Linked DNA regions of Rattus norvegicus. The protein of the gene in region 3 interacts with the protein of the main gene of each other region in a pairwise test. Links are inferred from orthologs where the notes say so. Each region holds a gene or a part of one and is shown on either strand. Other genes may lie near its edges.

What was found.
Region 1: the proteins of Tasor2 (region 3) and Nek6 interact in binary tests that used the Homo sapiens proteins (3 or more experiments, as listed by UniProt). The link is inferred for Rattus norvegicus from reciprocal best matches to the Homo sapiens genes TASOR2 and NEK6.
Region 2: the proteins of Tasor2 (region 3) and Prkab2 interact in binary tests that used the Homo sapiens proteins (3 or more experiments, as listed by UniProt). The link is inferred for Rattus norvegicus from reciprocal best matches to the Homo sapiens genes TASOR2 and PRKAB2.
Region 4: the proteins of Tasor2 (region 3) and Erh interact in binary tests that used the Homo sapiens proteins (3 or more experiments, as listed by UniProt). The two-hybrid records come from large-scale screens. The link is inferred for Rattus norvegicus from reciprocal best matches to the Homo sapiens genes TASOR2 and ERH.
Region 5: the proteins of Tasor2 (region 3) and Ldoc1 interact in binary tests that used the Homo sapiens proteins (3 or more experiments, as listed by UniProt). The two-hybrid records come from large-scale screens. The link is inferred for Rattus norvegicus from reciprocal best matches to the Homo sapiens genes TASOR2 and LDOC1.
Region 6: the proteins of Tasor2 (region 3) and Klhl40 interact in binary tests that used the Homo sapiens proteins (3 or more experiments, as listed by UniProt). The two-hybrid records come from large-scale screens. The link is inferred for Rattus norvegicus from reciprocal best matches to the Homo sapiens genes TASOR2 and KLHL40.

What each region holds. Positions count from the first base shown.
Region 1 is NC_086021.1:42,692,815-42,696,793, reverse strand, and holds the start of Nek6 (serine/threonine-protein kinase Nek6), read right to left. Parts: upstream 2,801-3,979; 5' UTR 2,705-2,800; intron 2,698-2,704; exon of another isoform or gene 2,500-2,697; intron 2,427-2,499; exon of another isoform or gene 2,403-2,426; intron 2,276-2,402; exon of another isoform or gene 2,254-2,275; intron 1-2,253. UniProt on the Homo sapiens protein: Protein kinase which plays an important role in mitotic cell cycle progression. Required for chromosome segregation at metaphase-anaphase transition, robust mitotic spindle formation and cytokinesis.
Region 2 is NC_086020.1:187,944,840-187,948,808, reverse strand, and holds the start of Prkab2 (5'-AMP-activated protein kinase subunit beta-2), read right to left. Parts: upstream 2,801-3,969; 5' UTR 2,645-2,800; exon of another isoform or gene 2,555-2,644; intron 2,427-2,554; 5' UTR 2,402-2,426; coding exon 2,249-2,401; intron 1-2,248. UniProt on the Homo sapiens protein: Non-catalytic subunit of AMP-activated protein kinase (AMPK), an energy sensor protein kinase that plays a key role in regulating cellular energy metabolism.
Region 3 is NC_086035.1:71,503,422-71,507,621, forward strand, and holds the start of Tasor2 (transcription activation suppressor family member 2), read left to right. Parts: upstream 1-1,400; 5' UTR 1,401-1,668; intron 1,669-1,788; exon of another isoform or gene 1,789-2,221; intron 2,222-4,200.
Region 4 is NC_086024.1:106,019,722-106,023,968, forward strand, and holds the start of Erh (enhancer of rudimentary homolog), read right to left. Parts: upstream 2,801-4,247; 5' UTR 2,704-2,800; coding exon 2,701-2,703; intron 1,810-2,700; coding exon of another isoform or gene 1,753-1,809; intron 203-1,752; coding exon 115-202; intron 1-114. Other genes in the region: Slc39a9 (zinc transporter ZIP9), read left to right, coding at 3,817-3,912. UniProt on the Homo sapiens protein: May have a role in the cell cycle.
Region 5 is NC_086039.1:145,000,564-145,004,566, forward strand, and holds the start of Ldoc1 (protein LDOC1 precursor), read left to right. Parts: upstream 1-1,203; 5' UTR 1,204-1,279; intron 1,280-4,003. UniProt on the Homo sapiens protein: May have an important role in the development and/or progression of some cancers.
Region 6 is NC_086026.1:130,317,415-130,321,592, reverse strand, and holds the start of Klhl40 (kelch-like protein 40), read right to left. Parts: upstream 2,801-4,178; 5' UTR 2,715-2,800; coding exon 1,563-2,714; intron 783-1,562; coding exon 622-782; intron 324-621; coding exon 216-323; intron 115-215; coding exon 1-114. UniProt on the Homo sapiens protein: Substrate-specific adapter of a BCR (BTB-CUL3-RBX1) E3 ubiquitin ligase complex that acts as a key regulator of skeletal muscle development.

The DNA.
Region 1 (3,979 bases), on a different chromosome or scaffold from region 3:
CCTACAAGGTCAGAGGCTGGGCTTTTCCTGGGGCCGAGTCCAGGTTTGTCTCCAACCAGTATCTATGTGTTTATTTAATCAATTTATTTATTTAAATGGAGTCTTGGTGTATAATCCTGGGACACCTGGTACTTGCTATGTAAGTCCAGGCTGGCCCAGAACTCAAAGCAATCCTCCTGCCTCAGCCAGGATTATGGGCGTGGGCCACCACACCTGGCTGTAACCCATATCTAATCTTGAATGATTCACCAAGTCCTCCACCCTCACCTCCCTCTTTGGTCCAACCTGAGGGAGAGAAATAGTATTCTCCCTGGGACAACAGTTTGGGCATCCTTGGCACTTGAAAAGACTGTGTATTACCTTCATTCTGGTGGCTCGGTAGACTTGGGAGGACCTCTCCCCAAATTCTGGAACCAGGCAGGCCTGCAGAACCTGGCCTGTTATAAATCACTGAGCTTTATAACATGCTAGAAGAGCAAAAACACAATAAAGGTAGCCAGCCGGTGTGCCTCAAGTTAAGGAAGCCGGTCCTAGAATCCTGACTTTGCCATTTATCAACTTACCTAGATTTTACAGACTCTGTCCAGACAAGTCTGGGTTCAAAATCTGGGTGTACTGCCACTCTATAGCCTATGTCCCAGTTTCATCATCTATAGAATGGACACCATAACAGTTCTCATCTTACAATGTCGGTGGGAACAAGAAAAAATAACTTCAAACCTTGTGTACCAAGCCCAGCACCGGGCACATCCTCAATAATGGTGGACATGGGTCATGGTGCTACTTCCTCAGAACTCTGCCAGTCAGTTCATCTCCCCTGGTGTCTGTTTTCTCAGATAATAGAGACAATAACCTCCAACTTACAGGTGAGTCCTAATGAGGACATGAGTGTTCAAGTCCTCAGTGCCCAAGCTGTGCACCTTAGGAAGTCAAATGTCAAGTCTTGGGCTCAGTGAAGGAGGAAGGCCTAGAAGGCAGGCAGGTGGCTCAGACTTTGGCCACCACCCTCTCTCTCGTGGCCTGGGACACATTTGATCTTTCTATGATTCAGATGCCTTGGGCACAAACCCAAAAACAGAATGGAATACCAGGAGAGTTAAGGACCCCCAGAACCTCTCTCAGCACACAGTCTGTAAAGGATCCAACTCCTTTCCCTCCTCCTTTCCCGCACCATGTGCCACCTGGAAAGGTCAGCATCTCCATTTCTGGGAACCTAAACGGCTCTAAATCCTGGCCGGTCAACACTTAAGTCTGAGACTTGGGCTTTTTAAAGACAGCAAATGACTTTTGTAGTCATCTCTGAAGCAGACGGGGCTCGGAGGCTTACAACCACAGGGACCATTTTAAATCCCGGGCCTTTTCTTCTGGGAAGTTAGGCAAGAACCTTCCCAAATGTTTGCCGTGGGGCCCTCTGCCAGGGAGTGACTCACTCCTCCGCTCCCCACAGGCATATTTTATTTGGGGGTGGGGGATCCAGGGAGAGCCTGGGCCTGATGGGGGAGGGGAACAGTTTCAACACATCCAGAAGGTGGGGATATTTTTTCTTCTCCAGTTTTCAGGACAAAGAGGAAAAAAAAGAACGTGGGTCTTTTTTGTTTCCTTCCAGGTTTTGTGTGCTGAAAGATGATGTCCAAAGTTCACTGGTTAAGTTCCTCCTGTTGGGAGTCAGGCACCCATTCAATGAAATTCTTCTCCCATTAGCAACAGGGTTTTTAACATGCCCTTTTACACACACCAGACTCCTGTGAGGACATTTTCCCCTCAATAAGTCAACCTGTAGTTTGCAAGTGGTGTAAAACTCTGAACAGAAACTTTCTAAAGTTTGCTTTAAAGCCGTTGAAACTTTCAAACACACACGCACAAACTGTCAATCAAAACGTCACGAACAGCCCTTAAGGATGTGTCCCAAGCGTGCTGTCACCCATTTGTTACTGCCTCTGGGGCTCAGATAAATCAGGGGAATATGATTAACTTAGAGGAGCAGGCAGAGAGAGCAAGTATCTAGGGCCCTGGGTCTCCCTAGGGCCTAACCCCTAGATATGGGGGGCAGAGTCTAAATCTGGCCTAGCTAGAAACAGCCACGAACAAAGCCAGGGAACTAAGACGTATTTAGAAAACCTCAATTCAAGTGCAGCGCAGCCCCCTCCTCAGCCTGCGTGGCCATGCAGAGTTCTGCCAAGGCCAGACTGAGCAGCTTTCACCAGAATCAGAACCTGGGGGATCTGCGTGTCTGTCCCAGGGTCCCAGACTCACGGAATCCGACCCAGCACCGTCTCCGGACAGGGTCAGCCGACACCTCACACACACACTGGCCTGCAGTGTGGAGTGCTCAGCCTGGATCCTAAACACACACTCGTATGGAATTTGTACACTTTTGCCCGTGCACGTGTGCACACACTCACTCGGGAACGTTCAGACACGTGGGCACACGTACTCCTTGGCATCCACAGTAAACACACGATAAACCGATAAACCGAAGCGAAGCCAGTCCACACGCACCGGTCCACCCCAAACTCACAGTCGGGGCCCCTGATGTGCACACGCACGCACTCCCGCGCAGCGGGGCGGATGGAGCCCGCCGCAGATACCTCGGCCTCCTGCGGGCGTCCCCGCCGACTCCCCGGGCACGCGCGCGCGCCCACAACGCCTCGGGTAAAGGCCCCACGCCCTGGCCCGCGCCCCTCGCTGGTCCCAGGCCACTCACCGGCGCTGGCGGCTCTCTCGGCGGCGGGCAAGCGCGAGTCGCACGCGAATTGGCGGCGCTGCGGCCGCAGCTAGTCCGCCGGGTTCAGCCGCCGCTTCTGCGCGCGTCCGCGCGCCCGCCCCTCCCCGCCGCGGGGCCGCGCCGCCCCCTGCGCCGGTGCGCGCGGCCGCCACGCAGGCTAGGGGGCGCCGGGGGCGCGCTCCCAGCCTGGGTGCTTAATCGTCCAGCCCAGGTTGGAAGACTGAGGCTCAGACTCCAAATCCTGGCCACTGAACCCCTCTGCGCGGGCTCTAGACTCTATAAGATGCAGATTCGCTGGGTAACCAACTTGTGGACCCTTCCCCACACCCATGAATTCCCCATCAGCCGACATTGCTCCTATCACAGCCCTTGCAGGACTGAAATTGACCCATCCAACAGAGTGGAGAAGAAGGTGCAGTTCAGTTGATAGAATGCTTTCTTAATCTCAGCACTAGGGAAATTAGGTACCTGTCATCCCTGACTACGAAGGCTGAGGCAGGAATGTTTGAAATTCATTCATTCTTGGCTATTTAGCAAATCTCAAGCCAGTCTGGGCTTCATGAGACTCTGTCTTAAAAAAAAATTAGCATGAACAATAGTACAAAAAGTGTACAAATAGTGCTCAATACAGTTACAAAAGTAGGCCCCTAGGATAAATCCAAATCCCTGTCTCCAAAGCGCTAGTATCTCCTGGGGATACTGCTTTCCTGAGAGTCCCAGGCCAGCCAAGCATCAGGGTGCAGAAGGTTCTAGAAGGAGTAAGCGGCTCCACTAGGGGCCAGCCACATACCCTGGGGACTGGGTGGGGAGTACCTGAGTTTGATCTTCCAGACCCACACGAAGGGAGGAAAGAACTCTAGCAAAGAACTCTAGCAAATTGCCTCTAACCTCCACATGTCCTCCAAATGCACACGGAATGGCGTGGTTTTTTTTTTTTTTTTTTTTTGTTTGGTTGGTTTTTTTGTTTGTTTGTTTTTGTTTTTGTTTTTTTGGTTCTTTTTTTTCGGAGCTGGGGACCGAACCCAGGGCCTTGCGCTTCCTAGGCAAGCGCTCTACCACTGAGCTAAATCCCTAACCCTTTTTTTTTTTTTAAAGCCTTCATCTATGAATACTTAACAACCCCATTAGGATGTCTGGAGACCCTCACTTCCCCTCAAGAAAGGTTGCTCCTGGTTGGGACAGGTATTGCCGCTTCTGATTCTTTTAGACTGTCTGTGTCCCCAGAGCACCTTCCAGCTGTCCATTAATCTGCTG
Region 2 (3,969 bases), on a different chromosome or scaffold from region 3:
TGTAATCTCAGAGCAATGCACTGGGGCTGACAGTTGCATTGGGAATGTTTCCATAAGCCTCAAAACAACCCTCAAGTCTGAGTCCCGCAAAGGATTTTGTGAATATATTTTTTTAAAAAGCCTTCAGGTAACAGCACTCTTATCACGTTACAATAAACAAGGAGAAGCATTTCTTATTTTTCTCTAGGGGGTCAAGTTCTCACTGTGGTCCAGACTGGCAGTGATCCTCCTCCCGCTCTGAAACAGCTGAGATCACAGCTGTGAGGCACCATCATGTCAGCTTTAAACAGTCACCTTTTGAGGTACGTCCTAAAATGTTAGAAATACTACTTGTTGACCTGTTTGAAATCTGTTTCAGAGTGGTTGGTAGGGGAATGGCTTGGATCACAGAGGCACAGTCATTTAATGACCTTTTAGCACCATTTAAAACGGGTGACATATACGTAGTTCATTTCACTGTTCATTTTATAAGTGTGTCAGATTTCCCATAAGGTTTTTAAAGCATTCTTGGGGGATCCGGTCATACAAATAGGACTGAGGAGCACTGAGTAAGACTATTAATAAGCCTGACCTTTGAAACAAAGATGCCCCCAACCCTACTATTCTTATCAATTACTTTTATGACTTAAGGATTTTCAGTTTAGGATTTGAAAACTCCAAACTATTAATATGCCTGGCTTTGGAGCAAAGCCCTTCCACTTATGACATGACATTTCTGTGGTAGGAGTGACTGCAGCTGACTAGCAGAAAAACTGTTTACTGGAGTTAAACCCTCAGCGAAACCATCAGAACAGCAGCAAACCAGCAATTCAAATTACGGCCTGCAAATGTTTAAGGAAATTTAGTGTGGAGAGGGAGAGTACATGGGCTATGAAGTTTTCTGTCTGGGTAAGACATGGGTAATTGTTTGAACTACTTTTCTCATCTCACAGCAAGATGTGAGGGAAAGAATGATCCAGAACAGGCCTAAACGCACACAGAGCAGCCTGGCTCTTATTCAGGACACCAATTACTGCAGTCACAGTTTGACTGTACCCAAATCCTGAGTCATCAATGTAGGAACGAGCAAAAATACACGGCCTGTCTGTCACCCTGGACAAGCTTCGGAGAAGAAAATCTAGGCTGAGTGCAGGGCCCAGATAATGAGGAATCCTAGAGGAGAGGAAACAGGGAAGAGGGAACCCCAAGAAATGGCGTTCTAAATCAGGATCGAAGAAAATATGGTATATAATCCAACATTCATGTGCCATCAAAGCGGTAAATAAAACTCTTGTTTACTATCTTAAGTCTCAGTTCACTGGGGTGAGAAATGTCAAACACACCCCACCACCCCACCCAAAAACCACCCGAAGGCTTTTCTTTTTCACTTCAGAGAGCCGACCAGGAGAAATTAAATGTATTTAACGCTGACATTTCTAAAAGTAATTAGGAACATTAGAGTAGTAATCACACTGCTGTCAGCTCCGTCTGGCTCTTCTTTTGGGTGACCAAAAGTGGCCTCTGGCTGAAAGTCTGTGGAATTGAGAGCAAAAGTCTTCAGGGCATGAGAGGGTGGTTTTGAGCCTCGGGAACATTTTGAAGTACTTCTGAGGAGTGAAGGGAAGTAAGTTGCTCTCCAGGGAAGTGCAGCAAGGTGTGCAAAACGCTCAGCTACATTTTAAAACGGCACTGTTTTTTCCTTTTTTAAAAAAACTGAGCCATTAACCAAATGATGTCCTGTACTGATTCCCAAGACTAGGGGAAAGTATTCAAATAATCAAGTGATGGCTGCTCAGCCACACAACGGTGAACGAGGATGGAGGAGGGATGCAGAGCACTTACGAGAGAGCAAGAACGAGATCTACACTGAGACATTTTCAGGGAGAAGAAACCATCTAGCTATCTTGAGGGCAATTGAGAAACTGAGCTCGTATCAAGAGCTCAGACAATGCACCCTTCGAAGTTTCCACCCGCGCTCACTACCTATTCTTCCTGCAAGCTCTAGAACAGGGCAACCTGCACGTACAACCAAGGATGGGGCGGGCAGGGGATGGGTCTTTGGTACCCGTCCTAAAAGGCTGGCCCACAGATTACTCAAAGCAGCAGGAAAACAACTCCGCGCCTCTATCCTAATTTGAGGTAGTACCTACCAGGAATTAGCACCCAACATTTCTGTCCGCGCACTAGCCTTCTAATTTAAAAGCCCATAACCCTTGAGAATGAGGAAGAACCAAGAAGGGCGGAGCAGCCCGCAGCCCCGCTACCTCACCTTGGAGTCCGGCAGGCTGAAGACGCTGGGGTCGTCGGTGCTTCCCACCATGATCTTGTGCTCCTTGCCGGGGCCATGGCCGCCACCCTCAGCTCGAGCAGCCTTGGCACCGTGGCGCTCCCCGGACACCCGCTCACTGGTGGTGTTTCCCATGGCTGCAGCTCGAGTCCGGGGCAACCTGCCGCGGGGAATGACACCAGGCGGGGAACACCCCCGCGGCCGCGTCAGGAGCGCCCCGGCCCCGCCCCTGCGCCCGGGAAGGGAATCCCCGCCGCAGGAGACCGCGCCCGGGGTCCCCTCCCTTACCCGCTTCACGGACGCCTAAGCTCGGAGAACCGGCTCCAGGAGCCCTCGCTGCCCCACAGCCCGGGTCCCGCACACCCCCACGCCGCTCACCTCTGGCGATGCGCTCCGGGCTCGCGTGGCTACACGCACGCCGGCTGTTCGGCGTACAAGGAGACCAATAAAGTTATTGAAATTGAAGCCGCGCCCCAAGCCAGCGAACCGGGTTTCCTCCTAAAATGGCTACAAGGCCGGCGACGCGGTACCGCCTCTGCCTCTGGCCCCGCCCACAAGGCCTCTTGTTCCACCCCCTGCGCTCCAGCCCCGCCCCCTCCTCAGCCTCGGTCGCCTGCCTCTCTAGCCACCAGCACTTAGGCCACCTCTGTGGTGGGTGCGTGCGCAGCTCCGGCTTGGGGCGGAGCGGAGGGTGGGGTCGGGGTTGGGGCTGGGAACGACCCGCCTAGGTTGTGATAGCTGGGCGCGCCTTGCCTTCCTAAGCATTTTGTCTATCCGTGGCACACGCGCTTATTAGAAAAGCCGAAACCGAGGCCTCTCCGTGCCCTAGGTGCAGAATTAGAACCTGTACTTTATCAAACAACTTGACAGCGGTGCATAGCGGATCCACATTCGAGTGGTTTTCATACTCCGCGTAGACCTCTACAAAGCAACCTCTTTTTAGTTGTTCCAGGAGGTATGAAATAAAGAATGGGACAGAGAATTGACGAGACACGTGATGGCAGGTACTGGCATAAGGCTTACTTCTATGTGGTACCCAGCTCATCAAAGTGGTGTTTGTTCTCTTACTGTGATTAGCTGCGGGGATGCTTGCATACAGCGAAAGAGTGAAGTTTAGTCAAGGAGTCAAAAGGGGAATTGAGAGCACAGGGTAGTCTGGGAAAATATTGAGGGAGTATTGATTTGAAACCAGTCGGCTAGAAGTGAAGACAAAATAGGCTGGTGGAGGGCCCAGTGGGGTCAAAGGACTCTGGATACAGGAGAAGCTGGGTGAGCTGAGACAGTGAGAGAGGTATCCTCTGAGAGTATCGTGTTTGCCACTGAGGTTTCAGTGCTCCTGAAGTCATTAGCATTGGCAGTATCTTAGATCCGATCAAGGGTGTAGATTGATGAGATGAGGCAGACCATAAAGCCATTAGAGTTAAGAAGGTTATAGGGGAGCCTAGTGAGATGCCGCCGTGGTTAAGAGCACACGTTGCTTTTACAGGACACGGGTCTGGTTCCCAGCACCCACAAGGTGGCTCACAACCATCTGTTCCAGGGGATCCAACACCTTCCCGTGCACATACAAACATGCAGGCAAAACACTCAAATACAGATTAAAATTTTTGAAAACTAAATAATAAAAAGGAACAGTGAGATAGCAAAGAGAGTTGGAGGTCTACCTTAACATTGACTCCCTTCCTGCTTACTAAAGCATTGAC
Region 3 (4,200 bases):
ACTGTGGGTGAGGGCTTCAAGACCCTCATCCTAGCTGCCTGGAAGCCAGTATCTGCTAACAGCCTTCAGGCGAAGATGTAGAACTCTTAGTTGGTAGGCATTCTCCTGACCCTTCTTAGCCCTTGGGTAGTGTGTGAATATTCCTTGTTCTTTTTTCACTTTCATAGCAGTCTTACTGAAATCTTGAACACATTTTCACCGGTGAGGTGCTTTGCACTTGACCTCCAAAGTTCATTTGGTCACTTTCATCTTTGGATTTTGATATCCAACATCCCATTTTTGTTAAATCTTTGGTGTTTTCCTTCTGTTCCAGTCTCCCGCCTCCAACTCCATTTACTAGCATTTCATTCATTTTTCACACGTTATTACCTGAAATAACTGTGGCACCTTATAATTTAATGCACCTGTACAATGAACTCAGTGATGAGTAGGGTCCTTCTTTTCCTTGCTCATGACCACGATCTCAGATTTTAATACAGAATTTGCCACATGTATACTAGCCCGTTTAATGATGAAATCTTATCTCTGGGTAACAAAATTTCAACTCACAGCTCAAGGTCCTTGGTACTGTTGAATTTCTCTCCTCGGTACTTATCTGTAGTAAGGATAAGACTTGAATTGTTAATTACGGTGACCCCAACGCTCTTCACGTAGATGATAAACTTCAAATCCGCCTGGGGAACTCCCACAATGAACTTAAGTTTTGTATGGATTTAACATTCAGCAAATTCAAACAGTAGTGACATCTTCCAGTTGGGCTAGACCAACCTGCATTACCAGAGTCACTGGAGATGACCTTCAATTTATAGCTAGTTGATTGTCTTTACTCCAGCCAACTCAGTTTTTTTACTCCGGACTGTACCTAGGCGCTTTAGCTACAAGGGGAGGTTCAAAAGCAAGCAGTTTGACAGAAATTATGTTAGCTGTGACATCTTGGCCTAAAGACCTAAAATAGTTGGGTAATTTTTCATCAAGGAAATCATTTCTAGTTCAACCTAAAATGGCCTCAGCAATGAAACAAGATGGAAGCGTCTCTGTACAATCTCGCCCTGATAGCACCTAATACAGAAAGAGCCGGAAAGCGGCCATGAGCAACCCACAATACACTGGAGGAGGTTCCGGCTGAGGAGCCTCACTTCCTGCTCACGCCTTCTATATCCGGCTGCCTACATCTCGCGAGAAGCCAGGGAAAGCTCGGTCGTCCAATCCAGAGCGAGCTTTGCCCCTCCCGCGCGCCTGCGCATAAAAGAAAAAGCAAGAGCAACGTGGACGCCGGCGGCGGTCGCGCCTGCGCCTTGGCGCGCTCCCCGTGATTGGCTCCCGTGACGCGACCCACGGAGCTTTAGTTTTCACTTTCTGTCTTCTGAGCCCCCTCCCTCTCTCACGGTCCACGAGGTTTCACTTCCGGTTACTGGTGCCGGGGGGGTGCCGGAGGGCGGACGCGTTCCCAGCGCCTGGCTGGTTTCTGAAGCCGCTTCTCGCCCGTGAGACTGAGTGAGGGACCGGAGCGTGCGCGCGCGGCCGGGGAACACCCGGGTTCGTGAGGCGAGGTCCGGAGACGCGGCAGGACGAGGGGCCAGGAGGAGAAAGGGACGGGCTGTTAAAGCATGGGAAGGACACTGAGCTGTGAGCTCAGCTCCTCAGGGAAGGCTGCCTCGCCGGGGACAGGTAACGCTCCCTCAGGGGTCGGGGCGTCCGGGGTGAGGAAGAGCGGGGCACGCGTGGTGATTGAGGGCTGGTGGGCGGGCGGGCAGGGCGACGCGCGGGGCCACTGGGCAGACGCCTCGGTCGCCCGGGACGCGGGGCCCCCATGCTCCGACCTGGAGAGGAGGGTAAGGTTAGACAGGGTCTCCACCGAGCCTGTGGAGGGCGTGGGAATGGGTGTCTGCACTCTGAGGCAGAAAGCCGGGCGCGTTTTGTTTGTGTCACCTGTCACAGGGCAGCTCCATGCCCAAGGGAGGTGATCGGCTCTGCACTGAAGCGTTGCCTTGGTTTGGGGTTGGCCTAGCTCCTCCTCCCCCAGAGGGGTTTTGGGGAAACCCTCAGGTCGGGTTTCTGGATTCCGTAGAATCCAAGGCAACGCATGACAAGGTTTACCCTTCTTTATTACGTACAATGGGCCTTCCCCATATGGAAGAGAGCAGCGGGCTGCAGCCACGTTGAAGGAATGTTGCAGTAGGCTGGTCCCGGCGTTGGTTAGAGGCGAGCCGGCGGGCACTTGGTAGGAAAACGTGGCTTAACTTTGAAAACTGGAGTTGGTTTGAAAGTTCTCGGGTCTCTTAAGTCTCGGTTGATGCGCCTTACTTTAAGCTACTCTCTACTGTACTCTTTCTGAAGGGAAACTTAGAACGGGAAGTCAATCAAAGTCTTTCCTAAACCTGTATAATACAAAAGCACCTGGGGACTCAACAGTGTCCGCCCTCAGAGGAGCAAAAGGAAGGCGGGGTGAATATGTCAGAGTGTAGAATCTGAGATTGTTGGAAAGCCTACCGAAGAGGTTTAGGACAAAGCACATACACCTGATAGTGTAAGCGAATACTCTCGTACTGGAAAATGGTTTGGTAAAGGATAGTTCAGTGTTATCAGTGTACATCAATACCTAGAGAGCCCAAGATAGAAAAAATAAAAGGTAACTGAGTATTTCTCAGTAATTACTATTAAGGACGATGATGTTGGAAGTGTGTTGTCAGTTCGTTTCCTACAATCTTTCAAATAAACATAAATGGCATCTCTTCTAGTCTGTAAACATTTGCTTAAATACATTGAAATTTGAAAACCGCCAGGAAACTTGCCTGGTACTATTTGTTACCTGTAGCATATCCGTTTAGCACAAATATGTTGGACATGTTTATCCGTCGTATCTTGTCAGTGGACATTTTTAAGATTTTTCTTATAAAAATTCTTATACATATATATAAAATGTTTTTCAAAGATGTATTTACTTTATTTATTTGAGTACACTGTAGTTACCGTCAGACACACCAGAAGAGGGCATCAGATTCTATTACAGATGGTTGTGAGCCACCATGTGGTTGCTGTGATTTGAACTCAGGACCTCTGGAAGAGCAGTCAGTGCTCTTAACCGCTGAGCCATCTCTCCAGTCCATAACAATTCTTCAGAGCTGTGTTTTTCACCTGCAGCTGTTATAAACAGGGTTTAGTTGCTGATGATAACTGTTTGTAGAATCAAATTTTTATGATAATGCTAGGCAGTTTGTTAAAAGCCCTGGGATGATTTTACTTTTAAAATTTAATTCCCCTCAGATTTGGTTTTCATTACTCTCCAAGGCCGCACCGGATGGTAACAATGTTTTCTAAACATTTTAACTCATCTAATAATTGAAAAATCATTTTAATTTTTAATCTTTCCTAGTGAATAAGAAAGGAAAACATTTGGGACAGCCCAGTATCCCTTGTTTATGATATTGGGTCTGAACACTCTGCTTTGACCTATTTACAATTACCATACTGTTTTAGTTATGGTAGCTTTATGATATACATTGGTACTTTCTTTTGGGTGGGGGAGACCAGGGAAAGCTCAGGATTCTTCTTTGTTCTTCCAGATAAATCATCTCAATCTCTATAGAAAACCACATTGGGATATTTGTGTTTGCGTTATATAGCTTATTCATTGCATTTATATTCATTTACGAAAAGACTTTATTTTTTCCTTCCAAGAATATATCTTTATTGTGTGTGAAAATGTGTTTACAAAAAAAGCAAGCAGGCTATTTGGCTATTTGTGCACATTGTTAATGAGCATTACAGGAACCTTAGAAATAGATTGTGTGTTTTCTAGAAGGAAAATCTCGCTTGAACTTTCACCGTGATCCTTATTTCATTAAAATATCTTGATCAGTCTTGAACTTAGAGAGTCATACTTTATATTCACATTTTGTTTTGTGTTCCAAAATTTATATTAACAGCATGTGTCTTTGTCCACATTTTTTTTTTAATTGTAACCCAGGCTACCCTTGAACTTGATATGGTAGCAAAGGCTGGAATTGAACTCTTGATCTTCTGATAACTCCTCTAAAATGCTGGAATTACAGACACACTGCCATGCTGCATTTGTGCCATGCTGGTGATTGAGACAGGGCTGTATATTCTAAACAAGCGACAAGCACTAGTCTACATCCCCAGCCAGTTCTTCTACAGTTGTAAAAATACTGCATTACTCCAGTTACATCTATTGATAAA
Region 4 (4,247 bases), on a different chromosome or scaffold from region 3:
GAAAGTAGGGGGCAAAAGATTCTCATCCCCACATGCTACTCATCTCCCAAGAGAATGGTATGGTGTGTGTGAGGGACTGAGGACTCCCCTTCATTACCTTCCGTGCTCACTCACCTTCCATGCATTCATTCACAGACTCATAGTCAGCATAAGTCCTGCCTTCTGGCCTCTTGGTAGGCTGTACCAACAAAATGGTGTGAGACTGAAGGGGAAAAACAACTTCAATGAATATCCTAACAAGCAACTCAGAAATTCACGTCATGACATAAGCTCCAACATGACGCAGACAGGTATTATAGTTACTGAAACATAACTAGGTTGCTCATCCTGCAGTACTTCTGTATCAGTGTTGGGTCACAACTCCCTTAACTAAGTCAGTCCTTTACTCTCTGCTGCATCATTTCTCAAACTCCAAATATACCTGCTTCTGTATTTTTCTTACTAACAACCTTTAGAACCTGTTTTCTGTCTCCACTGGCCTCTAGCTCTATTAACTCAATAAAAACTAAGACATGGGGTAATCAAAGGAGAAAGGAAATACTATAATCACTGTATCGACCTAATGTCTTCTCTGACTTGAGCACAACAGTGGAGTCACATTTTATACAGGAGCTATTAAACATCAAGATGTAAGAAAAAGTAACAATATAAAATGTATATAGTAAATACCACACTAAAATCATCCATTGCCTTAAAGGGCCAGCGCATACCCAAATCATTTATCTGTGAATTCAGAGGGACTGCAGGACGCTGAAAGCCTTTCTCCTGCTCACTAGGGAGTGGAGTCAGTTCAGAGTTCTCAGTATATTCTGGGACAGTAATGAGTTCTTTGGGTTTGACATAGGATGTTTTGTGGCATCTTTGGTCTCTACTCACTATATGTCACCAACAACAATTCCCTTCAAAGTAGCAAAAATAAAAAATGTCTTCAAATGAGACAAAGAAGAATCCTGGTCAGCATAATCTTATGTAGTGTCTCCCATGCATTTAAGAATGAATAATTAATTAAACAAATGCTAGCATGATGCAACCCCACTGCAAGCCTAATCCTCAACCAAACTATTCACCTTGTTTTCTTCACTTGCAATACTAGTGTTTGGTAAAAAATAAATTCTTATGTCAGGATGTCCAAACTATTTTGAGACAATCCAAAAATTTAATTATCAACAAATGGAACTGAGAATCTGAGATCTAGGCTATCTGGGTATTAAAAAACAACAAAAAAGTAATTTAAATTTCATATAGCAAGAGAACATTATTATTTCTCCATCCCCAGAGATTTGTGTCATTTTGATTAAGTTTGAGAAGACTTGAGACGAAACCCTAGGTTGGTAACAAAAGAAACTGTAACGATGTAAACAGTGTTTTTTTGGTGATTAATAGGCAGAGAAAGTGGGATTAGTTGTGTAGGGGCTCATAAAAGGCCAGCTACTCAAAAGTTACTTTCAGAATGTCTGTGGTTGAGAAGAAAATTGGTCTCATGGAAACCATATTTACTTTCTTGTAACGGCTCATCCTAGACAACAAGGTAGTCACTCTTTGCCACATTTTTAAATTTTTTAAGGCAAATTAAGGAGTAATTTGAAATAGTAACATTTGAAAAGTAAAAACACACCTGCTCCAAATCTTTCCCCTTTGTTTACTTAAAAGCAGGAGGGCTGGAGTACTGGAGACATGGCTCAGTGGTTAAGAGCACAAGCTGCTCTTCCAAGGGACCGGTTTTCAATTCCCTGCACTCACATGGTCGCTTACAATCACCGGTAATTCCAATCCAGGGGATCGGACGCCCTCTTCTGTCTGCCGCAGGCACTGCATGCAAGTGGCACAAGACATGCAGGCAAAACACCATACACAGAAAAGGAAATCTTTTAAGATCCGAAAAAAGAAAAACGAGAATGTTGATAGCTCATTGGTTAAGAGCACGTGCTACTCTTACAGAGGGCATGCGTTTGGTTCCTAGCACCCACATCCTCCGCTCACAACCGCCTGTTGTAACTCCAGATCCTGGGGATCTCATTCCCTTTTCTAGCCTCCGAGGGCACCTGTGCTAACGTGCAAACAGACACATAACTTAACAAACTAAACAAAAACATTCCTTGTTGGATTTTAGGGCCAGGACCCTGGAGTCTCTTTTTTGGCTCCACTTCCAAGGCAAGATTGAATGCTGACATAATTGCCAAAACAGGGCAAGTAAGGATACTGAAAAAGGGAAAAACTTTTTTCTTTTAAGTTCGGGGGCCGAGGGACGGCTGATGCTGCACACTGCAAAGCAAATCCGAACCCCCAGGCCGACATACGGGAAACAGTAAAGGTGACGGGTGTGTCAGTTTCAGGAAACGTCTGACACACGTTCCCCGGCCATTGTTCCTAGAGTCCGCTAGTGCATCTGAAGAGAAAGAACGGCACCCCACGCCTCCCTCTTACAGGCAGCGATCGGCAGATAGCGTATTCTCAGCCCACCGCACACATCGCCCCCAGCATCAGGGCGCGCAGCCGCAAGTAAGACCAGGTTCGGGGCCTACAGTCAAGGCCCCGCGGCTCAGCGCCGGGAAGGGAAAGGGTCCATCCGCGAGCTGGGGGGAAGGGGGCGGGGAGCAGCTCGCTCGCGCTAGATGGGCAGGGGCGGGAAGGTTGGGAAGATGTATGGAGCAGGGGTGGCCCTGGAAGTTGGGGGACCCCGGCAACCGCTGAGAAACTCACCATCGCGCCAAACGCTTTGCTGCAGCCGCCGATAACACCTCCGCCGCCGCACACGAGCTCAGCCGCAACGCCGCCAACAGCCAATCCCGCGAGAGCCGTCGCCGGAAATCGTCGGAAGCGCGACGCAAAAGAGCCTTTCGGACCATAGAGATTCACACATTTCCGGTTTCTAGAGTGGATACCGACTCTGTTTCAGCCATCTTGGATAAGGGCGCGGAGATGTGTAAGAGAATCTTTCGGAGCTTTAGAAAGAACACTTTGTTTCAGGGTGTTGCCTTCTGTACTTTAATTAACAGATAGGCGGCTAAAGTGATGGGGAATACAACAGCGACACCAGTCATCTCTTTTTAGCCTTTCTAAAAAATGGCGGCAATATAAGGGCCCGGGCCTATAGGTCGGTTGTAACCCGGAAGTGCCCTGCTAAAGAGGAGGCGGCGAGACAATCCGGAAGTGGGAGTAATGAAGAGGTGCCACTTGGCGGCCATGGCAGCTGTAGTATTGGCGGCTCAGGGTCAGGGCCTGGCTGAGGGAAGTACCATGGGTAGCACCGGGTGTAGGACAGAGACAGCGTCGTATCGACTTTGCTGTTGAATCCTCCAGCCCATTGTTAGAGACTTGCAGGACATCTTGCCCGACTCTAGACTCGAAAGGTACTTTGCTGGCACTGGTGGGCTGGTCCCTTCCCTGGGGGCGTATCACCTGCGGTGCCACCCCTGGGAACTGGTACCGCGTGTGGAGAAGACACTTGGGTTTACCTTTTTTTTTCCTGCTGCTACCAGGGACGTTGTCTTGGGGAGCGGGTCGTCGTGTCACCCTCATTCTGACGATTAAGGAGATCTCTTTTTGCACAATTTCTCCATCTGTTACCTACCGGAATCCCAGTGACTGGCAACCAAGTACCTAAGACTGCGCAAAGTTTTCTCTGGTGCTAGTATCAGCAAAAGGAGCTTGCTTCTTAAGAGAGCGGCGGGCTTCATGAACTCACCGGCCGGTGGCAAGGCTGAAAGAAGTGAGGAAATTCCCGTTTTCTTGGAAGACCACACGTTTAAACAGCCCAAGCGCCGTTTGAAACTGGAATTTTAAAGCCTGGTGGAGGGGTGACTACAGGAGGGCAGAATGGATGACTTTCTCTCCATTAGTCTGCTGTCTTTGGCAATGTTGGTGGGATGTTACGTGGCTGGAATCATTCCTTTGGCTGTTAATTTCTCAGAGGTAAGAAATTGTCCGTTTTCTGCCAAGCATTAGGTAGGATGGTGCTAGACATAGTGATATTTGCAAAGAAGCTGCTTCTCAGCTCTAAGGACTCATTAAGGGAAAGATGTAACATTTCACAGTAGAAACAAAGCTCACACTCAGCCCTATAAATCTTAACCAAGAGTGGTGGAAAGATGATACACTGGAGAACCTGGAGTGTTCAGAATCCTCTGAAAATTATACACCCCACCACTACCAAAAGTTGGGGCTCTGCATTTTTCTATAGACAGGAACCACAGTTACATTTCCGGAGGTTTCAAGAAATCAAGATATCAGATAAAACCAAATGGAAA
Region 5 (4,003 bases), on a different chromosome or scaffold from region 3:
ATACATATACAGCCACCCAATTAGACAAGATGGATGAAGCAAAGAAGTGCAGACCGACAGGAGCCGGATGTAGATCGCTCCTGAGAGACACAGCCAGAATACAGCAAATATAGAGGCAAATGCCAGCAGCAAACCACTGAACTGAGAATAGGTCCCCTGTTGAAGGAATCAGAGAAAGAACTGGAAGAGCTTGAAGAGGCTCGAGACCCCAAAAGTACAACAATGCCAAGCAACCAGAGCTTCCAGGGACTAAGCCACTACCTAAAGACTATACATGGACTGACCCTGGACTCTGACCCCATAGGTAGCAATGAATATCCTAGTAAGAGCACCAGTAGAAGGGGAAGCCCTGGGTCCTGCTAAGACTGAACCCCCAGTGAACTAGTCTATGGGGGGAGGGCGGCAATGGGGGGAGGGTTGGGAGGGGAACACCCATAAGGAAGGGGAGGGGGGAGGGGGATGTTTGCCCGGAAACCGGGAAAGGGAATAACACTCGAAATGTATATAAGAAATACTCAAGTTAATAAAAAAAAAAGAAATGAACAATAATTTGATTGCATAGCTTGATAGTAAAACAATTTTATTGTGCTGTTAGCCAAAATATTTACCTACAGTAAACATATAGTTAACATTTCCAACAAATTTACAAAATTATACAATGAGAAGTTAACCTCAACTTTAGAGTATTTTCATTTCTCTAATAATCACGTTGCCCTTCGGTTCTAATTCCATTTATTGTTTTTTGTTGTAGGATACGGAGCTGATATTATCTCTTCTAGTTTCTCTTGCTATTCATAGAGAGTGTAAACTATATCTTTATCTGTTAATCTGCTTGAAACTGAGCTACAAGTGGATAAAGGTCCTCAGCATAAAACCTGATAGTCTGAATCTGGTAGAGGAAAATATTTGGATTATACTTGAATTTACTGACACAGGAATGCATTTTCCCCAGTAGTTAATACATTAAATCCAATTAATACATGGTAACTCATGAACTAGACCGCTTCTGTAAAACAAAAGACACTACACTATCACTTAAGTAACGAGGCAGCCTTTAGAATGGGAAAAACTTTAACAATTATGTATGTGGGATGATGTCACTGGTGAGGCAGGTACAAGATAGAATGAGGCCTGTCATTGGACGAAAAGGAAGGATGGGCGGGAGAAAGTTTTGAAGGAAGAGGAGGAGACAGAAACGGAAGAGGGGAGGAGAGAGGAGCGAAGCCGCGGCAGAACAATTTGGAAGCCTGTGTTTAGATTCCACGCTGTACCTCAGCAGGTTATATATGTTCTTAAGGGATGGATGTGTAATGGGCTTTGTATGTTTAGGTGGGCAATTGTATTTTATCAATTGGATCAAAAATTATTGTGTTGTATCATCTTTCATGTGTAGATTTAAATGTAAGGAAGTGTGGGGCGGCTTGTCTGGGTCGACATGGAGTTGGGATGTGTGTTTCTGGCATGGAAACCTGCCTTGGGACCTAGATAGGTAGAGAGATTTCTTCCAGGCTCAGAGAGGCCTTCGGCAGTGTGATATGGGATGCAGCAGAGCAGGTGAGACGCTTTGCTGACTGAGTTTGGGATATCTATCAGATATCTTGGGGGTACTGTGGTGCCGGACCTAGAGAGGGTATAAGACAGCATTTTATTTTTATAATTTTCAACAACATATATATCTGACACGTTAATATTTAGAGTAAACAAGGAACTACACATCAAGAAAACAAACAATGTAAGTAAAAAATGGGGCGTAAAATTAAACAAAGAGCTCTCAAAAGATGAAATGAATATGACGGAGACATTTTGTTAAATGGTCAACATCCTTAGCCATTAGGGAAATGCAAAGTAAAACTACTTTCAAATTTCCTCTTACTTCAGTCAAAATGACTAAGATACAAATAGCAAGTGATGACAAATACTTGTAGGGATTTGGGGAAAGGAAGCACTTGTTCACTACTTGTTGAAGTTATTCATCAGTGTGTTCACTGTGGAATTAGTGTAGAGTTCCTCAAAACACTGGAAATTAATCTACTGCTTGGGCATATACCAAAAGAACCCTATATCTTACTAAAGAGACACTGTCTCATTCATGTTCAATGCTTCTGTATTTATGATAACCAGAAATGGAAACTCCCAGATGTCCATCAACCAATGAATGGATGGTAAAAATATAATACATTTATACAATGCAATACCATTCACCCATTGAATACTAAAGTTGAATTTTTCAGGTAAATGCATGTATTTGAAAACAATCATTCTGAATGATGTAAAACAGACACCCTCCTCCCCAAAGGACAAATGTTGATTGCTTTTACTTGTTGCAGATGCTAGTTTTGCATCTTCAGATTTGTGTATTTATTTTGAAATGCCCATGGAAGTCAGGAAACTAGTAAGGACATATGGTGGGGCATAGGATGCTTTTAAGGGACCAATTAAATGATGCAATCATTTAAAGGGAGAAAAGGGAATAGTGAAATAGGAGGAATGAATAAGGTGGGAGATGGGTAAACTGGTTAGAAGAATATATACATAGAACAATAACAAAAGATCTATGTACAAAGTCATATGGAAACCTATTCCCACATATATTGGAGCTGTTAGCCAGTGAAGTCCCATAGACCTCCAACTATTAAATGCTATTGATATTGCTCTTGGTTATCCTCCAGAACTTGACAGTAAGACCTTATTTCTGATGACACCGCATACTTGAGTCATAGAACAGAAAGAAGTCAAACTGGTATCCATCTGATAGCTTCATTCTTACTGGATAAATTCCATGTTGCTGAAAGGTGCTATGTACGTTAACAGAATGGAAAAATAATCAGTAACTAACTCAGTTGTACAATGGTGGCATGGATATTTTAAATGTAGTAAACTATTTTTTTTCATTTAAGGCCTGTTCCACAAGATGAAACACATAACTAGCACAATTATTGAGGGCAAGAACTTTTGATCAGGTAATTCATAGTCCCTAGGGAAGAATTTGCTATTATTATTCTGCTAAATGGACACAGTGTTAGTATAAAACTTAGCACTATGCTAGTAGATTTGTGGGTAGTTCAACCCTCATCACCGTCATCGGAGTAGCTTCTTTTTGAAGTAAATGGTGCTAACATAAAGAACTAAAAGCAGCTCCGGTGCACTAGAGTAATAAACTACAGAATTCTCAGCCCAAATATGATAAGTGAATCATACCTCTTCACCCAAGTCAGGGATTATTGCAGAAGAAGGAGTGAAAAAGAATGTTAGAGCTTGTCAATGTGGATAAGGACAAAGAAACAGTACTTTCTGGGAACAACTATGTGGTTTCACATGAAACCCACAGTCACTGAATGTATACAACCCGTGTAAGTTCAAGCCCAACAGAATTTCACCACGGGGAGAAGAGGTGGGTATATTTCACATCTATGTGAAGACGATTGTCAGTTGATGGCTTCTAAAAAAGGAAGCATCAGTTTTGCTTAAGGGTGTGGCTTAAAGTCTAATGGATGACCCTATACCCAAGAATATAAAGATAACCCAAAGCAGACTGGATGAGTTAAAAACAAAACACAAAACCCCAAACACAAAACCAAACCAAAACCCCACAAAGTTCGGTGGGCAGGACAAAGGGCATGAATCTGGATGGTTTTAGAAGAGACAGTGGTGAATATGCTCAACTTGTATGAACTTAAATAACTAACAAAAGTACTTTAAAAGAAAATGGACATATACAGTATGATGGTATTTTTTTTTCCTGCCATTTTCAGTTTGTATAATTTTCCATTCCAGCATCAGTGTGTTAATGCCAATTCTGTGTGCCCTTACTGGCACGTGACATTTTCACATTTTCCTTACTATTTTCTTGTTTATCTGGCAGGGCTGTATCTCGAAGTTTCACCCTCTTTTTTCCTAGAACTTCATGATATTCTGCATCTTCACCAGTGATTTCTATTGGTGCATTTTCTCTTTGGAAATGTTGGTTCACATATTTTTTCATGTTAAATTCTATTTTCTCATT
Region 6 (4,178 bases), on a different chromosome or scaffold from region 3:
ATGCGGCCATCATGGACGGTGGCCCCAAAGAGTGAGCGGGCTGTCTTCATGGGTGCTAGCTCCTTCCACTCAAACTTCTTGGGGTCGTAGACACACATCTTGTTCAGACATTTCCTGTGGGGTAGATGGGGTGAGTGAAGACAGAGGCTGGGGTGGGGGACAACTGTCTGCCCCTCAGCCACACAGAACCTCCTCGCCACCAGGCTAAACCTCACCTGTCTTTGCCTTTGCCGCCAATGACATAGACAAGGTCCATGTGTGAAAGCACGGAATGGCCGTAAACCGCATAGGGCAGCGGGTCTGACTCACCCCATTTGAATGACCTGGAGGAACGAGAGAGCCCGGAGTGCAGCTTAAGCTCCTGTGGAGTCTGGCTCTCCGAATTCACACCCACGACACACACCCAGACTGCGTTGGGTACATTCCCCTCCCCTGAGCTCTTGGGCCTTCGAACCAACCCACCTACTCCTCTGCTCAAGGACTATTTTCAGGTCTTCACCCGATGGCCGTGCACCTGTGCAGGCCTCCTGGCTGCTACTGTGGTCCTAGCCCCACCCTATGGCCTCTGCCCCAGACCATCCTGTCCCCCAAGGTGGCCCCAACCCCTGCACACACACTCACAGCCTGTCGTAGCACAGGACTGAGTCCAGGCTGTCTTCGCTGTCCTTGAGCTCCCGGCCGCCGACCACGTAGATGGCATTAAGAGCCTCCCCCAGGCCGAAGAGGCAGCGAGGTGAGGGGAGAGGCGGCATCCCCAGCCACTCAGAGTCCAAGTGGTCAAACTGTGGGCGGGCAGTATCTTTGGGTCAGCCCTTTCCCCCACCCCTTAAAATCTATAGCCTTCCATCCCACCATCTGTGTCTGCCTAACCCAGTGGTTATAAGTACAAGGGGCCCACCTCAGAGAGTTGTCCAGTAGCTGCATGGTATGGATAGACACTTGATACCATTTAACTTCAGAAACTTCTCCCAGACGGCCTGGGAGAGCTGCCCCTCACCTCCTCCAGCTGTGGGGCCTGTGGACTTGACCTTAGCACCCAGCTGCTTATCAGCCCCTGGCTGCCTATACCAGCTCACCTGGCCATCGTGACAGGGTTGTCTGTCTGGGTTACCAACAGTGTTAACTCCCTCCCCTCCCCCTTCACATCTCTGGATTTCACCCAGCTGACAAGGCTCAAAACCACAGGTCAGGCTGTAGATTCTCCTTGCCTCTGAGCTCTCACAGTGGCATCCTCAACCTGGACTGGCTCACCTGCCTCCCAGCCCCTGCTGAGACTCAGTTTCCTGCCCTGGAAAGGAGAAAGCAAGGTGCTCTCTGTGTGATAATCTGTTCCCCACCCGGTCCTGGCACTTCTGCCAAAGCCCTGTTTATTGATTCTTTGCACTTGTCTCTGACCCTCCAACCCCTCCGCTGGGCCTCTTTGGAAACTGGCTGTAACTCTTTCCCCTTCAAGCAACTGGCTGCCAATCAAAGGTCCTAGATCCAATGACAGACCCCCAAGTAGACGCAGGCCCTTCCCAGAACCCAGCACTAGTCCCTCCCTCCCAAGGCAGGCCAGGCACCTGCAGGAAGTAAGCACTCATAGGGTCTTCCTTGTTGTCCTCGTTGTAGAAGAGGCCACCGGCCACGAAGACTTGGTTCTCCTTGGTCACGAGACTGACATGGTTTTTGGGGATCTGGGTGGACAGGGATGCACAGTAGCACTCGTTGGCAGCTGGGTCGTACGCCACAGCGCCCTCCTCGCTGATCATGAAGATGAGATCCTGCAGGAACATGCCGAAGCGCAGAGTATCATTGAGTATCCCGGGCAGCACTCGTTCCTCATCATCCTCAGCCTTGGTGTCTTCTGTGCCCTGGTTGGCCTCCTTGGTCCGAGCTGTCTGCTCACCCTTCTCCTTCTTTTTCTTGCGCAGCGTAGTGAGGCGGCCCTCGTGTGCGTCCTTCACCATCTGTACCTTGCGCAACAGCTCAGGCTGGGAGCGCACAAGTGGGTGGCGCTCCACGCGGCTCTCCAGGAAAGCACGAGGCAGCAGGCGGCAGCGAATGCTCTCGAAGACCGTGGGCAACGCACGCTGGTGCTCGGCCTGCACATCGGCATCGCCGCTGCTGGCCCAGCGCATCACAGCCTCGAACACTGCCTCCTCCTTCTCCACGTTGAGGCCATCGCTGGAGATGATGGCGATCAGCTCATCAGCTGAGAGTCCCAGGAAGTCGTTGTCGCGTGCCACCAGCGGGAAACGTGCGCAGATGAAGTCGCGCGCGGCCACAGCTAGACGCGCACAGTCCAGCAGGAGGCCGAGGCGGAAGACAGCCAGGCAATTAGCCAAGCACAGGCGCTTCTGCAGGAACGACACGCAGATGGTGAAGATGGACGGGATCTGGAATCGATGCGCCGCGGCAAACAGGTCCTGAACGCTTGCCTCGTCCAGCGCGATCTCCGATGTGTACAGGTAGTGCAGCACCTGGGACACTACATCAGGCGACACCTCCTCCAGGCGTAGCTCTCCCGCGCCATCTGGCTCAGCCAGGAAACGCGCACGGAAGTAGGGGCTGCAGGCAGCCAGCACCAGGCGGTGGCACGGGAACTCGCGCTCACCCACACGCACTACGCAGTCCAGGAACTTGCCGTGGTCCAGCATGTCCTTGAGGCCATCCTGCAGGAGCGTCTGCTGGTACAGACGCTGCTCCTCCGCCTGCTCCAAGCCCAGCGTCATGGTGCGGCTCTCTGGAACTCAGCAAGTCTGTTTGTCAAGGGCTGCCCTGCACACCTCTGCTCTCCTGTGGGGCAGTGCACTGACTGTGCAGCTGTCTTCTCTGGGCTATATATAGAGGATGCCTGGACCCTGTAAGAGGAGCCGCCTGGCCTCCTGCAAATGACTCACAGGGGACAGCTGAGCAGAGGCTTTCTCCCTGAGCAGCCTTGAGTCAGAGATAGGGGATCATGGGGCGAGGGTGGGGTGTGTCTGGACCTTTCCACAACTGGAAGGTCTCTTAGCCCAGCACACAGGAAAGCTTTGTCTCTGGATTCCTTAGTCCAGAAATGTGGCTACCCACGAAGGGGACTGTAGCCACCCCTGGTTACAGTATGTTTGGTTTCCTGCTTGGTGAACATGCCTTTGTCCTTGGCAGTCTCTGTTTAGAGACCCAAAATGGGAAGGAGTTTCCTCTGCCCAAGCTCAGTAAGGGTAGGTGTTTCTCTGTTGGGCCTCAGTTTCCTTTCCCATTCAAGGAGGGAGAGGAGCCAGAATCCAAGGGTCTCAGCTCAGCTCTGCTAAGGGCAAGAGACCCTGGGGTAGCTGCAGGGTGGACTCAAAGGTGTCAAGCCTGCTAGAAAATTAATTTCCTAGGATTCTACTATTGGGGTGGGAGTGGGGGTGAGGATAGACCTAAATTTTAATATTCTAATAGCATTCTGAATTTTAGTGTCCAAATGGTGGAACTTCCAAGAGTCTGATTACTGCTCAATAACTCTGTCCCATTGTCCTCAATCTGTGTGAGATTTACCATGTTTCTCCCTGGCCTTGGGGGCCCCGTAGCTGTCGTCTGTGATTTGAGGAGTTGAGAAGTTGAGCCAGGATACCCAATCTCAATCCCCACTTTGCTCTGGACTCCTGTCCATCCCCCAAATTTACACATGGGCTTCAGCCTCCAAGATTAACGAATTCTCCAAGCGCCAAAAGCTGCAGCTGTGGGTTAAATTTAGCCCTGGGACACTGGTAGGAGGTGTAATGGAGCGCTCCCCAACCATGCCTCTGAGTCACTTGTTTATAACCTTGGGCTTGTGGGGGTATAGGAGAAAAGACCTGGGGGGAGGGCTGAGTCACACATCCCTCCTGTGATTCCAGAAACATTACTGCCTGTCCCTCCTGAGTAGTGACGGTCAGGTCACTCAGTCCTAGAGGGGCATGTAGCTGGACAGAGGTATGCTGCCCACCTTTCTGCAACTTCAAGGGCTAGCTTAGGGCGGGCTGGGAGGGTTTCCATGACAGTTCTGGACAGTGGGACATTCCTCGGAAACATTACCAGCAATTCGCTGGGTCCACACGGCTACTACATGTGGTACAAAAATGTCTGTGATCACAACCTCACTTTCCAAGGACCTGAACAGAAGACGGTGACAATAGAATTGGTTCCTAACCGCCTTGACTTAATGTCATATTTTGGGTTTTTGGCAGACT